Linked DNA regions of Lytechinus pictus. The protein of the gene in region 1 interacts with the protein of each later gene in a pairwise test. Links are inferred from orthologs where the notes say so. Each region holds a gene or a part of one and is shown in the gene's direction. Other genes may lie near its edges. The genes, in order: probable tRNA(His) guanylyltransferase and U1 small nuclear ribonucleoprotein A-like.

Region 1 (8,170 bases):
TACGGTGCCCCGAAAGGTCGGGGTGCATTGCCGAAAATATCGCGCGAGCTGTTATGGCGTGCTATATATTATGTACGTGTATTCCAACTATTCCACTTTGGTGGCCGGGGGCTAGCTGGTAATAAATTCGCCGCTAATCGAAATCACCTTTTTATGTCTTGAAAATCAGCGAAATTGATCTTTATTAGTCATTCCATCGATTTAGGGGTGAACATTGGTGCAGAGAAAAGGGGGACGGGGTCTACGATGCCCCGAAAGGTAGGGGGGGCATGGATGAAAATGCTATGTATTATATACGTGTATTCCAACAATTCCACTTTGGTTTGGTAATAAATTCGCCGCTAATCGAAATCACCTTTTTATGTCTTGAAAATGAAGCAAATTGATCTTCATTAATCACTCCATCGATCTAGGGGTGAACATTGGTGCACAGAAAAGGAGGACGGGGTCTACGTACGGTGCCCCGAAAGGTCGGGGTGCATTGCCGAAAATATCGCGCGAGCTGTTATGGCGTGCTATTTATTATGTACGTGTATTCCAACTATTCCACTTTGGTGGCCGGGGGCTGGTAATAAATTCGCCGCTAATCGAAATCACCTTTTTATGTCTTGAAAATCAGCGAAATTGATCTTTATTAGTCATTTCATCGATTTAGGGGTGAACATTGATGCAGAGAAAAGGGGGACGGGGTCTACGATGCCCCGAAAGGTAGGGGGGGGGGCATGGACGAAAATGCTGTGTATTATATACGTGTATTCCAACAATTCCACTTTGGTTTGGTAATAAATTCGCCGCTAATCAAAATCTTCTTTTTATGTCTTAAAAATCAGCGAAATTGATCTTTATTAGTCATTCCATCGATTTAGGGGTGAACATTGGTGCACAGAAAAGGGGGACGGGGTCTACGATGCCCCGAAAGGTAGGGGGTGCATGCATGGACGAAAATGCTATGTATTATATACGTGTATTCCAACAATTCCACTTTGGTTTGGTAATAAATTCGCCGCTAATCGAAATCACCTTTTTATGTCTTGAAAATGGAGCAAATTGATCTTCATTAATCACTCCATCGATCTAGGGGTGAACATTGGTGCACAGAAAAGGAGGACGGGGTCTACGGTGCCCCGAAAGGTCGGGGTGCATTGCCGAAAATATCGCGCGAGCTGTTATGGCGTGCTATTTATTATGTACGTGTATTCCAACTATTCCACTTTGGTGGCCGGGGGCTAGCTGGTAATAAATTCGCCGCTAATCGAAATCACCTTTTTATGTCTTGAAAATCAGCGAAATTGATCTTTATTAGTCATTTCATCGATTTAGGGGTGAACATTGGTGCAGAGAAAAGGGGGACGGGGTCTACGATGCCCCGAAAGGTAGGGGGGGGGGCATGGACGAAAATGCTATGTATTATATACGTGTATTCCAACAATTCCACTTTGGTTTGGTAATAAATTCGCCGCTAATCAAAATCTTCTTTTTATGTCTTAAAAATCAGCGAAATTGATCTTTATTAGTCATTCCATCGATTTAGGGGTGAACATTGGTGCACAGAAAAGGGGGACGGGGTCTACGATGCCCCGAAAGGTAGGGGGTGCATGGACGAAAATGCTATGTATTATATACGTGTATTCCAACAATTCCACTTTGGTTTTGTAATAAATTCGCCGCTAATCGAAATCACCTTTTTATGTCTTGAAAATGGAGCAAATTGATCTTCATTAATCATTCCATCGATCTAGGGGTGAACATTGGTGCACAGAAAAGGGAGACGGGGTCTACGATGCCCCGAAAGGTCGGGGTGCATGGACGAAAATGCTATGTATTATATACGTGTATTCCAACAATTCCACTTTGGTTTGGTAATAAATTCGCCGCTAATCAAAATCTTCTTTTTATGTCTTGAAAATGAAGCAAATTGATCTTCATTAATCACTCCATCGATCTAGGGGTGAACATTGGTGCACAGAAAAGGAAGACGGGGTCTACGGTGCCCCGAAAGGTCGGGGTGCATTGCCGAAAATATCGCGCGAGCTGTTATGGCGTGCTATATATTATGTACGTGTATTCCAACTATTCCACTTTGGTGGCCGGGGGCTGGTAATAAATTCGCCGCTAATCGAAATCACCTTTTTATGTCTTGAAAATCAGCGAAATTGATCTTTATTAGTCATTCCATCGATTTAGGGGTGAACATTGGTGCACAGAAAAGGGGGACGGGGTCTACGATGCCCCGAAAGGTAGGGGGGGGGGGGCATGGACGAAAATGCTATGTATTATATACGTGTATTCCAACAATTCCACTTTGGTTTGGTAATAAATTCGCCGCTAATCGAAATCACCTTTTTATGTCTTGAAAATGGAGCAAATTGATCTTCATTAATCACTCCATCGATCTAGGGGTGAACATTGGTGCACAGAAAAGGAGGACGGGGTCTACGGTGCCCCGAAAGGTCGGGGTGCATTGCCGAAAATATCGCGCGAGCTGTTATGGCGTGCTATACGTGTATTCCAACTATTCCACTTTGGTGGCCGGGGGCTGGTAATAAATTCGCCGCTAATCGAAATCACCTTTTTATGTCTTGAAAATCAGCGAAATTGATCTTTATTAGTCATTCCATCGATTTAGGGGTGAACATTGGTGCAGAGAAAAGGGGGACGGGGTCTACGATGCCCCGAAAGGTAGGGGGGGCATGGATGAAAATGCTATGTATTATATACGTGTATTCCAACAATTACACTTTGGTTTGGTAATAAATTCGCCGCTAATCGAAATCACCTTTTTATGTCTTGAAAATGAAGCAAATTGATCTTCATTAATCACTCCATCGATCTAGGGGTGAACATTGGTGCACAGAAAAGGAGGACGGGGTCTACGGTGCCCCGAAAGGTCGGGGTGCATTGCCGAAAATATCGCGCGAGCTGTTATGGCGTGCTATTTATTATGTACGTGTATTCCAACTATTCCACTTTGGTGGCCGGGGGCTGGTAATAAATTCGCCGCTAATCGAAATCACCTTTTTATGTCTTGAAAATCAGCGAAATTGATCTTTATTAGTCATTTCATCGATTTAGGGGTGAACATTGGTGCAGAGAAAAGGGGGACGGGGTCTACGATGCCCCGAAAGGTAGGGGGGCATGGACGAAAATGCTATGTATTATATACGTGTATTCCAACAATTCCACTTTGGTTTGGTAATAAATTCGCCGCTAATCGAAATCACCTTTTTATGTCTTGAAAATGAAGCCAATTGATCTTCATTAATCACTTCATCGATCTAGAGGTGAAGATTGGTGCACAGAAAAGGGGGACGGGGTCTCCGATGCCCCGAAATGTGGGGGGTGCGTCGATCAAAACATAGCGCGTGCTATGTGTATTCCAACAATTCCACTTTGGTTTGGAAATAAATTCGCCGCTAATCAAAATAACCATTTCATGTCTTGAAAATCAACCAAATTGATCTTTATTAATCACTCCATCGATCTAGGGGTGAACAGTGGTGCACAGAAAAGGGGGGACGGGGTCTAAGATTTCTCGAAACGCAGGGGATGCATGGATCAAGGTCGTTCAGTATTTAATTTTTATTGAGAATGTAATGTGGGTCTGCCCCCCCCCCCCTGGTTCAAGGCCCATGTGAGAGGGACTGATCCTTCACATAAAATCATTAATTGATGCATTTTTTAAGGGAATATTAAAAAATATATTGATACATGTAGGAAACTTAGAAAACATAAAATGGATTCATCCTCCGCGCTGGGAATAATATAGTTATCAATAAGAGTTAAATTTACAAAGGAGAATACGGAAGCAATCATCAAAATCTGATAATGAATATTGAAGTCAGCAGTATTTTGTGAAAATAAAATGCACGCAGTCATGACTATCCATTGAGTGATTATGATTTCGATCGTGTTCCAATTTTCGTCTTGCTTATATAAAATGTTCTTACATGAAATCATTTTTTTAATCATGTAATGTCTCTTATATCAAAATAATGTCCATTAATGAACAAATGCTTTAATATTTTTGATGCAATATTTTTAATTCTAGGAGGAGGAACTTTGAATAATCATGATTTCTTATGATTAAAACAGTGGGAATAAGTATACAGAAGATATTACTTTTCTCCATTGAATGTTAAAAAAGAAATGCATATAGAACTGTCCGAAATGCGGATCTTTAAAATATCATAACTCTGTTATCCTTGTCCGATATTGTTTTACCAACTTTGTTTGATCCCGTGTTTGATTCTTCTCGATTTGTATTATTTTCAGCTGCACTGCATATGCCATTGCCATGTCATAAATGTTATCAGTCATATACTAATATTTGAAGCAATCTTAATGTGGAATAATGCATAACGGAAATTCCATATTTTTGAATCACGGTAAGTTTGGGTAACTATGCCTTTTAACTAAAAACCATTTCCGTGCGCATTATGACAATATTCGAGACGTTTGTGAATTTAAGCTGTATTTAGGGTCTGCAACTAATAGACTACGCACACGTTGCTGGGCGTTTTGTATCGCGATAGCTCTGTGCGCTGGGTTTGTTCGCTGGCTTGCTGCACTATATTCTGTGCGCTGGGTTTGTGCGCTGGCTTCAGCCTGGTACCGGTACGGTATCTTTATCCCACATTGAGCAAAAGGCCGGCTGCTGGATCAAACATTTTCGAGACGTCACTAAATTGAGATCTTCTTCTGTAGCTAGTAACACCCTAACTTCCTAACTAATTTATTCGATATCTATTTAACTATCATTAATGACACCGTACAACGTGATAAACAAATTCCGATGATGTTTTATAAATGTGCAAACTTCTTCTCGCCCGCACATCTCAGCAGTTGACTGCGGACGCTGAGCTGATCTGAATTTGACCGCTCAACTCCCGGGGTGGCAAGGCTGTGAGTAGACCAAAAGCTTCAGTCTGTATTTTGGTTGTTCCGCTGAACCGCGTTGGCTCACTCACCAATACATGGTAAATGGGGATTATAGTAAAATGTCAGAAATTGTTGAATAAATCCCCAGAAACGACGGTTATTCCTGTCTAAAGTTAGGCTGTGAGTGACTGTGTCTGTGAGTACCGTAGATGTCTCCATTACGTATACCCAGTTGTGTGTCCGGACGATCAATTTTAGAAAGTCATTTGTTAAAATTTACAAGCGAAGTTTCATCAATTTTTAGTAGGATGGGGGATTGGGTGTCCGGACAGTTTATCTTTTTGAAGCCTTCTTTTTTGTCTTTGGATTACACTAAAAATATTAATTCAATACTTGTAATCCTCTTCTATTTTGTTCTTTATAATATTTCCTAACATTTTGTACTAAAAATTGATGAAACTTCGCTTGTAATTTTTTCCAAATGACTTTCTAATATTGATCGTCCGGACACACAACCTGTCCGGACACACAACAACTGGGTATACAAAGTGTTAGGAAATATTATAGAGAACAAAATAGAAGATGATTATAATACAACTATTGAATTCATATTTTTACTAGTGTCTAGTGTAATCCAAAGACAAAAAAAAATATAAAGTGTCCGGACACCCGACCCCCCATCCTACTAGTACTACATGTAGGATGGGGGATCGGGTGTCCGGACACTTTAGTCTTTATATTTTTGAAGCCTTCTTTTTTGTATTTGGATTACACTAAAAATATGAATTCAATACTTGTAGTTGTATTGTAATCATCTTCTATTTTGTTCTTTATAATATTTCCTAACATTTTGTACTAAAAATTTATGAAACTTCGCTTGTAAATTTTTCCAAATGACTTTCTAAAATTGATCGTCCGGACACACAACCTGTCCGGACACACAACAACTTGGTATATTAATAGTATCCAGTAATGGGCGGTATACTGGACAGTGACTGCAGTCTGCATTGGGTGATTTTCAAGTAGGCCTAACGTTAGATCGATTAGCCTGGAGGCTTCTGGAGGGTAAAAATCAGTCTTCTAATAAAAGTACCGGTAGGCTTACTCTCCATGAATGATGGAGCCTGGCCTGGGTCGGGATTAACCCAGGGAGCTCCGGCCCGCGCAGCGGGCCGGAGCCCAGGGGCTTACCGTGTAATTCACCATACCCACGGTAGTAGCGTGAAGTATGGTCTAAATAATTATTCGAATAAATAGTTAAAACAGAAATTAAGCACTTACCACAATTATATGGATGAAGGTCTAACGAGTGGCAGCTTCCTGACATCGAGGTACAGACTGGAACCTCAAAAAACGAAAAGTTCTGTCGCGGTAGCTCTCCTTCTTTCAGAATTCAAAACAAAATGGCCGATTGAGACCGAGGCTAGCTATAGCACTAGCGCATATAGACTTTGTCAAATTCGCGCATGCGCCCTACACCCTCGGTACCGGTCTCAAACGGCCATTTTGCTATGAATTCTGAAAGAAGGAGAGTTACCGCGACAGAACTTTTCGTTTTTTGAGGTTCCAGTCTGTGCCTCGATGTCAGGAAGCTGCCACTCGTTAGACCTTCATCCATATAATCGTGGTAAGTGCTTAATTTCTGTTTTAACTATTTATTCGAATAATTATTTAGACCATACTTCACGCTACTACCGTGGGTATGGTGAATTACACTGTAAGCCCCTGGGCTCCGGCCCGCTGCGCGGGCTGGAGCTCCCTGGGTTAGGTCGGGATTAGTCTTGAGCAGTCGAGGACTCCATGATGTTTTTTTAATATTTTGACATATACTTCTTCATCATGGAGCCTGCCCTTGACACTAACTCTTTCCAGGCATAGACGCAGAAGCGAGACCTAGACACCCGGATGGATTTCCCTAGGAAATCCATAGTTAGAGGGTAAATTTTATTGATATTTTAACCTTCAAACACCTAATGCATATGAAGGTTAAAAAAATTGGTTAATAAAAAAGTGAAAAGTTTTAGGTTTCTTACCAGACCGATCTCGTGTAGATCCCTCGATTTGTTTGTCAACAAAGCAAATACAATAGGTCTGACCCTTGAACCGCTTCGTTATGACGTACATTCAATTAGCGATGTAATCGAATGTACTTCATAACGAAGCGGTTCAAGGGTCAGACCTATTGTATTTGCTTTGTTGACAAACGGATCGAGGGATCTACATGAGATCGGTCTGGTAAGAAACCTTAAATTTTAAAATTTTCACTTTTTTATTAACCAATTTTTGGAACCTTCATACGCACAGTATTTTATAGATGGCAAATATTGCGATCTTCAACGCTTATATATAAGCGTCAAAATTTGTAGCAATCTCCTTGTATTAGTCTATATCATACGACGTGTCAAACTGAAGCGAACTAGTTCGCAATTTTTCGGATCTCCTCTATATATACAAAGGGGGAAATTGTAGCTAACTAGTTCGCTATTTTCCGGATCTCTATATATATACGAGGGGGAAATGTAGCGAACTAGTTTGCTATTTTCCGGATCTCCTCTACATATATACGAGGGGGAAATTGTAGCGAACTAATTTGCTATTTTCCGGACCTCTACATATACACGAACGGGAAATTTTCCGGATCTCCTCTATATATATACGAGGGGGCATTGTAGCGAACTAGTTCGCTATTTTTCGGATCTCCTCTACATATACACGACGTTAAATTGTTGCAAACTAGTTCGCAATTTCTCATCTCTCTATATATTATAGAACGTGTCAAACTGTAGCGAACTAGTTCGCTATTTTCCAGATCTCCTCTACATATATACGAGGGGGAAATTGTAGCGAACTATTTCGCTATTTTTCGGATCTCTACATATACATGACGTTAAATTGTTGCAAACTAGTTCGCAATTTCTCATCTCCTCTCTATATATTTTGGAACGTGTCAAACCGTAGTGAACTAGTTTGCAATTTTTTCCGATCTCTACATATACACGAGGGCGAATTGTTGCAAACTAGTTCCCAATTTCTCATCTCCTCTATATATTATAGAGCTTGTCAAATTGTAGCGAACTAGTTCGCAATTTTTCTGATCTCTACATATATATATACGAGGGGGGAATTGTTGCTGCAAACTAGTTCGCAATTTCTCATCTCCTCTCTATTATAAAGCATGTCAAACTGTAGCGAACTAGTTCGCTATTTTTTGGATCTCCTCTATATAATATACGAGAGGGAATTGTTGCGAACTGTGTGTGAAAGGGACCATCAAACGTGTTCAGTTCTGAAC
Region 2 (9,118 bases), on another chromosome or scaffold:
TCAGATGTAAAGCTTATTTTTTATTTGGGTTCATTGGGAATCTCTATTATCAGAATCACGCAGATTTGGGTGTGCGCAAACTTGGGGCACCTTATAATCTGTCAATGGTCCTGACTGTACTTCGAGGACTCTGTGATATTTTTATCATTTTTTCATTGTATTTTCATTCACGGAGCCTAGACAAGTCTCTGTTGCCTGTAGAACTTTGTACACTAAGATGGATTTCCCTAGAAAATGCTAATTTGTCCAATTTGTAAGCTTTTGTACTCTAAATGCATACAAAGGCTTAAAAAATGTTAATCGTAGGAAGGTAAAAATTTTGAAGGATCACTTCCAGTTCCCACGCTATATAACGCAATGACATGAATTTTAACTCGAGTGACGTACGTATGCAAGAAATACAGAATTGGTGCACATGCATAGCTGATTGATTGTGCTAGTACTGGTACTAGATTCCAGGCTGACATAGTGGATCGGTTTGGATGTTCTAATTTCAATGAAAAGTTTAGATGGTAAATTGGCGCTAATAAAATTTAGCATTGGTCGATCTCGCGATGCAAGAAAACTAATTCCACCTCAAAATTTGTCAGATTTTTTTTGCAAAATATATATTTAATTGATCCTTGACCAGTTGACCTTAATTTAAGCCAAATCAGGCATAGGGAATGGCTGTATTTCGGCCTTGAAGTTCAAATTCTCAGTCCTGACAGTCCTGGTTACCCCATAACCATTTAAAACACATAAAAAGGCTTGAATTAAAATTGTAATAATAAAAAAAAAAAAGTTTTATGTGTCAAATAAATTGATTCTAAAATTTTCCTTCCTTATACAGAGATGGTTAAAGGTCGTGAGGGCATCATGCCCACCCCCCCGACTTGACTGTACATGTTAATATTTGAAGTATAAAATCTGTAACAAACCCCACATCATTTTTAAATCATTTGAAATAAATTGGAAATTAATATTGAAACCATCTAGTTTTTAATGAAGATTAATAAATAGTTTATGTAGAAAAGGTTTTTATGTTTCTCCTCTTCTGTTATTTTTGCAGATGCTGTAAATTGAAATGGAAGGTGTCCTGCCATTAAATTTTCATCCCACCTGAACTGCCTTGCCTGCCTGCTCTATTTTTCATCATCGTTCGTTTCGGCTTGTATGAAGTGAATTTCACATTGATTGGTGGAGCTGCTAAGTTGGCATTACAGGGCCACGCTGGGGTATGATCCTTGGGGTTGAACATCATGACTGCTAGTTGGTCGGCGAAGGTGATGGGATCGATCAATGTCGCATGGAGTAAGATCGATACCAATCTGCTTTGCTGCATTTCGAACAATCTCATACGGATACGGATATTATTGCGACAGGAGTACTGCTCGATGTGGTCAAGCCTATTTGACAAAGCATTATGGTGTTAGTCATGTTATCAGAAACAGATTTTTTTAAATCACGGAGTTGCTTCAATTTAGTATCGATAGATATTTCAAGAACGTGTGGACTAGTGAGTTTTTCATCAAGAATTTCACGCAATTTATTTTCGTGCTTATCCATGTCATCATTGAGTTTTTGTCTCTCGCGTTCCATTGCCACGGCCGCCGCTCTTTGAACGACTGTATCAATATGATTTAGGTATGCTGGGCTTTGTTTAGATCCAGTTAATGATGAATCAGAGGATTGTGTACATGCGTTAGCCGAGTGCAAGCGGCCTCTTGATCTGGTGGATATCTTAGACATGATGTTAGAGATTACGTAATGATATAATTGAAAAGTGGGATGGGCTGTGCATCTGCCAACTCACCAGTCAACCAATTAGAGACGGCCTTCCAAAGTGACACAGCATGAAAATATCAATATGGGACTGGTCTAGTCAACACATAGATCCTGAAAAAACCATGGAGACCGCAGACGCAAAATGACTTCCATACATAAAGATATGATGCACAATTTCCAGTGGGTTCAAAACACTGAACACATGCTATGCTGATACACAGACTATCATAAGAACTTTATCAAGCATAGGAAATCTGGTATGAAATCTCTCAGCTCACATAAAAAGCCAACGTAGCTACATGTAGGGAAGAAAATGAAAATGCGTAATTGCTGAGAAATGAGCAAAATAAGCATGTAATTCTATCAAATGTCAGGTATTTTTCGAATCGATTATAATACACTGTCCCACATATGCTTTTCTGTGTTTATAGCGATCATCAGAATTATCGATTTTAAGTTTAAAAATTCATGATTTTACAAAGATACAAGTTTACATTAATGTACCAGATGTAGATTATGTACAATATATTGACAATTAACTTTGATTTTATAGATTTTCTCAAGAAATAATTGTTTGCTGCAACTACTGTCTTTTCCTTCTAAGTGATAGTGTAATACAACAGTTCCACAAACTATTTTCATCAGACTTATTAATGTATGATTCTTTCACCCAAATGCAAGCTTCCATAAATCATGAAAACCTTGCAACTCAGGTATTTTTTTAAAATACAGTATATTTTTTCCTACATTACATAGTTGCCTTAAGTTAATAGCCCACCTCTAGTAGTAACTATCTTAAAATGAGTTCGAACAGAATCCAACAGAATTACCAGCAAAGTGTATATATAAAAGATGTGTGCCAAATAGCTCGGGAAGAAAATGTGTAATTGCTGAGAAATGAGCAAAATAAGCATGTAATTCTATCAAATGTCGAGTATTTTTCGAATCAATCATAATACACTGTCCAGTCCCTCATATGCTTTTCTGTGTTAGTGATCATCAGAATTATTGATTTTAAAGATAAATTCCAGTTTTGGTAACGATCTCAAAATGACTTTTTACAGAATCTAATATAATGACCACCCAAGTGTTTGTTTGTATGAATAAAAAATATGTGCCAAAGGATTCTGGAAGAAATTGTGTAATTGCTGAGAAATAAGCAAAATAAGCGCGGATTCGGTCACTTCCGTCGGGTCTTTATTCCAGCAATAATAATACACTGTCCCACGTGTGCCTATCTGTGTTGGTGATCTTCAGTGTGAACATTTTTCAGCGTAGATTTCAGGATTTCACAAAGTTCAGTTTATGTAACTGTACCAGATCTAGATCCTCGATGATATACTGCCAATTAAGCCTTGTTTTACAGACTTTCTCATGAAATCAGTGTTTACTGCAACTACTGGAACTTCTCTTTAAGTTCAAAATTCATGATTTTACAAAGATACAAGTTTACATTAATTTACCAGGGCCCCGTCTTACAAAGAGTTATGATTGATCCGATCAATCGCAAATATGGACGGTCAGCAACGTTAACATCTATTAAGCATGTTTGTTCAAAATATTTTCTAGCTATGATGTATGTTCATGCATTCATTGTTTTCTCAAAAATTTGCTGCGCTTCTCTTTGCATACAAAGGACATTGTGCAAATTTTTCGTAGAAAAAAAATTATGACACTGATGGGTTTCCTTAGAGTTATGATTGATCAGATCAATCGTAACTCTTTGTAAGACGGGGCCCAGATCTAGATTATGTACAATATTTTGACAATTAACCATAATTTAAAAGACTTTCCGAAGAATTAATTGTTTGCTGCAACTACTCTCTTTTACCCCTAAGTGATAGTGTAATACAACCCAAACTTTTCATAAGAATTAATGTACATGTATGATTCTTTCACCCAAATGCGAGCTTCCATAAATCATGAAATTATTCCAACTCAGGTATTTTTTAAAAAATACATTACATAGTTGTCTAAAGTTGAAGGTATATTTAATTACAATTTCAACGAAAAAGCTTTATTCTTGGAAATCATTATGCCTCTGTTATGTATTAATGTGTATTTATACATTTTCAATTGTATGTATTGGTATAACAAACATTGTAATTTCATTCCTTTGACCCTAATACTGCATTTTCATAGAAAAGTGGGGTTTTTAAAAAATCTATTTAGAGTTTTCAACTTTTTGGTTTTCCTTTTTTTTGCTGGTAATATCATGTTATGCAACTTTTATTTATTAATAGAATATTTGCCACGATTTCGTAATTGAAATGCGTACATGTATTTGATTTCGTTTTCCATTTTTGTATATATTCTTTTTCGGGGGGGGGGGGGGGGGGTCATGTTCTTGAGACTGAGACAAGTTATGCAAGGCCCTGGCATGGAGGATCATTATATTGTTACTGGGAATGCTAGACATTTTCAGACCACCTCAGTATTCACCAAATATAGATAATCCTCAATGACAAGGTCTTTGAAGTGATGTGTGTATGTACATTGCATGTAGAATTTAATGTTAAGGTCATTATCACGTCAGAATACGTTCAGATATCATAGTTGACTCCAAAAGACGTCATATTCATTTCTATATGCGACGTCAATATGACGTCTATTACTAGTCAGCAATATGTTGCAAAGTCGTCATTCAGACGTCGTAGATGACTTATAAAGACGTCATAATTACATCACTATGACGTCTGAAACTGGTCAGGAATACGTTGCAAAATTGTCATTAAGACGTCGTAGATGACTTTTAAAGACGTCATAATTACATCAATATGACGTCTAAAACCGGTCAGGAACACGTTGCACGGATGTCATTAAGACGTCGTGGTTGACTCTCGAAGACGTCATAATCACGTCAATACACGACGTCAATCTGACCCTTGATACTGGTCAGGAAAACGTTGTAAAAACGTTGCAAAGACGTCATTAAGACGTCGTAGTCACTCTTGGAGACGTCATAATGACGTCAATATACGACGTCATAATGACGTTATTCGCGGGTGCAAGATCCCGTGATTAAGACGTCATGTTACGACGTCAATATGACGTGAGACTCGTCGTAAAAATGACGTAAATATAACGTCATTTTTACCAGTTTCTGCTATCAGGGAAGGGCCAACTTGACTGACCCACTATACGGGCCCATATAGTATCAAAATAATGTTAATTCCACATGTTCAGGGAGGAATTAATCTTTGATTCACTTGACAATGAAGTGAAAATTCAAATATTCAGTATTTCATATAATAAAATACAAAAGAAATAGTGATTACTGGATGATAAATAAATAAAATAAAAATAAAATGCACACTTTATCAGCCTAGAACGTTTTGCCCGCTCGCTTTTAGGGCTGTGTAAGATTTTCAGTTTATTTGCAAAGAAAATTACTTTATAACATTCTAAATATTTTTCGCCCCCCCCCCCCTCCTCACCGGAAAATAAAACATTAGACCCCCGCGCCAACTTTCGGTTATGTACTAGCAATCATTTTAGTAATCAAATTGGCAATAAAATTAGGATAAATATTTCCGCTTATTTTATTTAATTACACTGTTGGCGTTTATGTGTTGTGAGAGGGTATGTGTTGTCACTTGAGAATCGTTCAAAATCATACTTTTTAATCATTCATCCATCTTGATTTGTATATTCTTTCAATTGAATTATATTTATTGCTATCATACCTGGATGTTTCGATCCCAAAGTAATATATGTTTTTGTATTTTGAGTATTTGAAAATAATCGTATTTATTACGTGGTCCCAGATATACTATTTCGTGTAATTTTGACTGGGCGAGATTTCGGGTAATTTTTTTCTGACTCGTCTCAACTCTTAATTTTTCTTCAGTCAGATTCTAACCTACAGCAACTGAAAAAGTGAGAATCCAAGTCGAGATGGCTGCTCCAAATCACACAATTTACATCAACAACCTTAATGAAAAGATAAAGAAAGATGGTAAGTTAAAAAAGTCATGCTCGTTGACGTTAGTATACAAATAATGCATGCAGCCGAGTGCGTTAGTGGAAATGCAGAGCACGCGAGGTTTCTTTAGATAGGAGTCGCACTGTGCACGAGCCGCTTGCGGCGAGTGCCCAGTGTGCTCCATCTGAAGAAACCGAGCTTTCTCTGCATTTACTTTTACGCACGACAGAGCAAGTGCATTATTTGTTTTATAAAATAGCAACACAGAAACAATTTTTTAAAAAGTTACAGTACAGTTTTGTAGGACTTTACCGCACTGGTTTGCTCGAGCGTGCAATGTCAATTTTCGTTGCACACCTTTTGCACTACCGTGCAGTGCACAAAAAAAGTTGGATGTCATGTGACGCGTATTGACCAATCGCGATGCTTGAAATAATACAGCTATTTTATAAAAATTCTTAAAGTATACATCCAAAGAAAATTCACGAAAGTGATGATTATAGACAAATTATATATGAATGGAAAGGTCTTGTCTTTTTATACACAAATATGTCACTAAAAAGTCTTATTGATGTCGTGGAAATGCAAGAAATGAAATTATTAGAGACCCTTCTCAGCCCCCCATCCGCCCCCAGACACACACTAACGCGATGAAATACAGTCGAGAATAATGACGTCACATGATGATCGACTCACTCAGCCGCTCTGCCAGCAGTACACTGAGTGATAGCTGATTCACCTTCCTGGTCTCTATTTTTCTTCGAATTTACCGTTTTCTTCATGTATTGTGATATCCGAATTCTGTTTTCGACAACTTCAGACTATTAAGGGAACCAGAACTGTGTTATTTTGCCCGGTTTTTATTGAATTGTGAACTGGAAAGATCGATTTTGTCCACTCGACAGTCTACGTTGTGTTGCTCTACTAACTTAAACTATTGAAAAACTCCAAGCTGCACGGTCCCATTCACTTGCTCCCGATGCATGTTGCACTGCAGGTTACGCTGTTTGATCCAGTCAAAAGTCAAGGTAAGCATGTTTGGAAACTGTACTTGTTCTGACGATGCATTCAGGTCAGATGACAGATACAGATCTGATATAAGTTTAGAATCATGCATTTTGGCGTATACTATTAAAATTAAAAAGTTTTTTTTATAGAAATAATGTTTTTGCACAATTCCAGCAGATTTTTTCTTCAGATTTCTAAAACTGGTCAGGACTCGGGCAGGCGATTAAATTATTTAGGATCACTGGTATGGACCATGGCTGAAAATCTGTTGTTTCAGAGGAATGTTTAAGTTTTTATTATACACAGAAATATATCACCATGATGCCGATGTCATGAAGCCAGACAAATTTTCAGCAGTGATTACCCTGATTCCTGGCCAAAATCACTCACACGTATTGCGAGGTTAGTATTAGTATACTAACCTCGCACCACGAACCGCGTTTTTGGCAGTGGATTTCTAACTAGTGGGTCGCGCGTGCTGGGATCTCACTTCTTGGGTCCACAACACACGACTTCTATGGCTTGAATTTTCTTTGCGCGGCGGCATGTAATGAACCCTTGGGTGGGCCATAATTAGAGTCTGGTGTTTCTTTCTGATTAGAGTGTTGCTGCATATATGCATGCGTAATGCCTTCAACAATGAAGATAAATGCAATCTTTGTAATGACACAGAGACTCATAGAGCACCGTACCTCAAATGATGTTCGTGTAGTCTCCACTTCACTACTGCTACAGCCTACACTACGCTACACACCTACCTGGGTAGGTGTGGCGTACATGTACGGTAGTGAAGTGGAGTGGGGCTTACACAAACATCACTTGAGGTAGAGCATCAGTGTTCTGAGTGGAACTTTTCAGGTGTCTAAACCTACTATCATTTGTTGTTGACCGGGAATTACATGCCACCGCACGTCATCAATCATCACGATAATTGAATTCATACTTTGATTTGATTATTTAAACTATTTCTTTTTTTCTCTCTTCTACACACAGATCTGCACACTTGCTGACTCTGGTGACTTCTGGTCTCTGCTTGCTACCTCAATCTGGGAGATTCCATCATGTCCTTTTACTATGATATGGATATAGCCATTTTTTTCTTCACTCTTTCCAGGACCTACGGTTTGCAAGTTGTGGAATGATAATGATACAAAAGAAAAATTTTCTTTATCAATCTTGGAAACAATTTTGAGCACAGTTTTGGAGAGAACTAAGAAATTTGACTTGGACAGGAATACAGCTTGTCAAAAATAATAACACACAATTTAAAACGAAAGAACAATTTTAATGTTACTAGGGCATTTTGCGAGAAATGTCTCAATCACACGTCCCAAATCAAGGGTAAGTCCTTTGATTAAACATGTAGTTGAATTGCGATTGCAACTCGACCTTATTACGCTTGAATTTGAATTTAAGACTTACGCTTGATTTGCAATTGAACATAAGTTTCTTGCAGTGCCCCATAATTATGTTTTGTTATCAGATATTTAACGTGCTGATTTTTCTCGAAAGGTATAATATATTTGTCCTTTTAAACAGTATTTGAATATGGGTACGCCTTTTATTTGTTTTCCACAATATTTATTGCATGTATGAACAGAAGTGAAATATTTATTGTGAAGCACTGTGAATGTTGTGTGCTGTTGTGTGATGGTTCATCATTTTTGTTATAAGACTGAAAGCCTGGTGGATGTGAGGAAGTGGCCTGGATGAAAGAAAAGTGAACATGTGTCCAATTACTGATTTGCATATTCTATTAAGACAATTTTGGTTCTGAAAATTTTTTGCTATGCATTCCCTACATTAAGAGTAAAGGAGAAGTCCATGCAATCAAAAATTCATTTGAATTTAAAGAAAAATAACAAGATATTGCAGGAAATTTCGTAAAAACTTTGATTCAAATCTGCAAAGAATAAAAAACAAAATGCCACAAAAAATAGAAATGAATGTGATGTGGGTGACAACTCTAATTTGCATATCATTGTTTTGTGTATATGACTGTTTTTAGTAAAAACAACAAGGGAAATTACTCTATTCAAATAATTTTTAGTTGATGTGGACTTGACTTTTAACTCTACCCCTCCCATCCCAAATAAGAGTAGAAATGATCTAATCAAGAACTTGAAAATCAAAAGCAGCAATTAAGAAGCAAGATTTGATAAATACAGGTCTGAATAGAATTTCACAAGAAAATAAAAAGAGAAAAAAAGATGGGTAGGGACGGGGAAGGAATAAAAAAAAATGTCCAGAAAAAAATACGAGTTTCGAACCAGGGTCCTCGCACATGACAAAACATTGGCCAACGCATTTGGCCACAGACCATTGCCTTACCGTAAAGGCATTTTTAAGATGTATGAAATAAAGTCTGCTCGCCGCTGTTGCCTAATAATGCTTCGGCAATTCAACTGCAATTTCAGT

What was found.
Region 2: the proteins of probable tRNA(His) guanylyltransferase (region 1) and U1 small nuclear ribonucleoprotein A-like interact in binary tests that used the Drosophila melanogaster proteins (3 or more experiments, as listed by UniProt). The link is inferred for Lytechinus pictus from reciprocal best matches to the Drosophila melanogaster genes THG and snf.

Annotation. Positions count from the first base shown.
Region 1 is NC_087256.1:739,884-748,053, forward strand, and holds the start of probable tRNA(His) guanylyltransferase, read left to right. Parts: upstream 1-4,627; 5' UTR 4,628-4,976; intron 4,977-8,170. UniProt on the Drosophila melanogaster protein: Adds a GMP to the 5'-end of tRNA(His) after transcription and RNase P cleavage.
Region 2 is NC_087250.1:14,946,917-14,956,034, reverse strand, and holds the start of U1 small nuclear ribonucleoprotein A-like, read left to right. Parts: upstream 1-5,295; 5' UTR 5,296-5,349; intron 5,350-5,361; exon of another isoform or gene 5,362-5,473; intron 5,474-5,617; 5' UTR 5,618-5,664; coding exon 5,665-5,725; intron 5,726-9,118. UniProt on the Drosophila melanogaster protein: Binds stem loop II of U1 snRNA. It is the first snRNP to interact with pre-mRNA. This interaction is required for the subsequent binding of U2 snRNP and the U4/U6/U5 tri-snRNP. Plays a role in regulating sex-lethal splicing.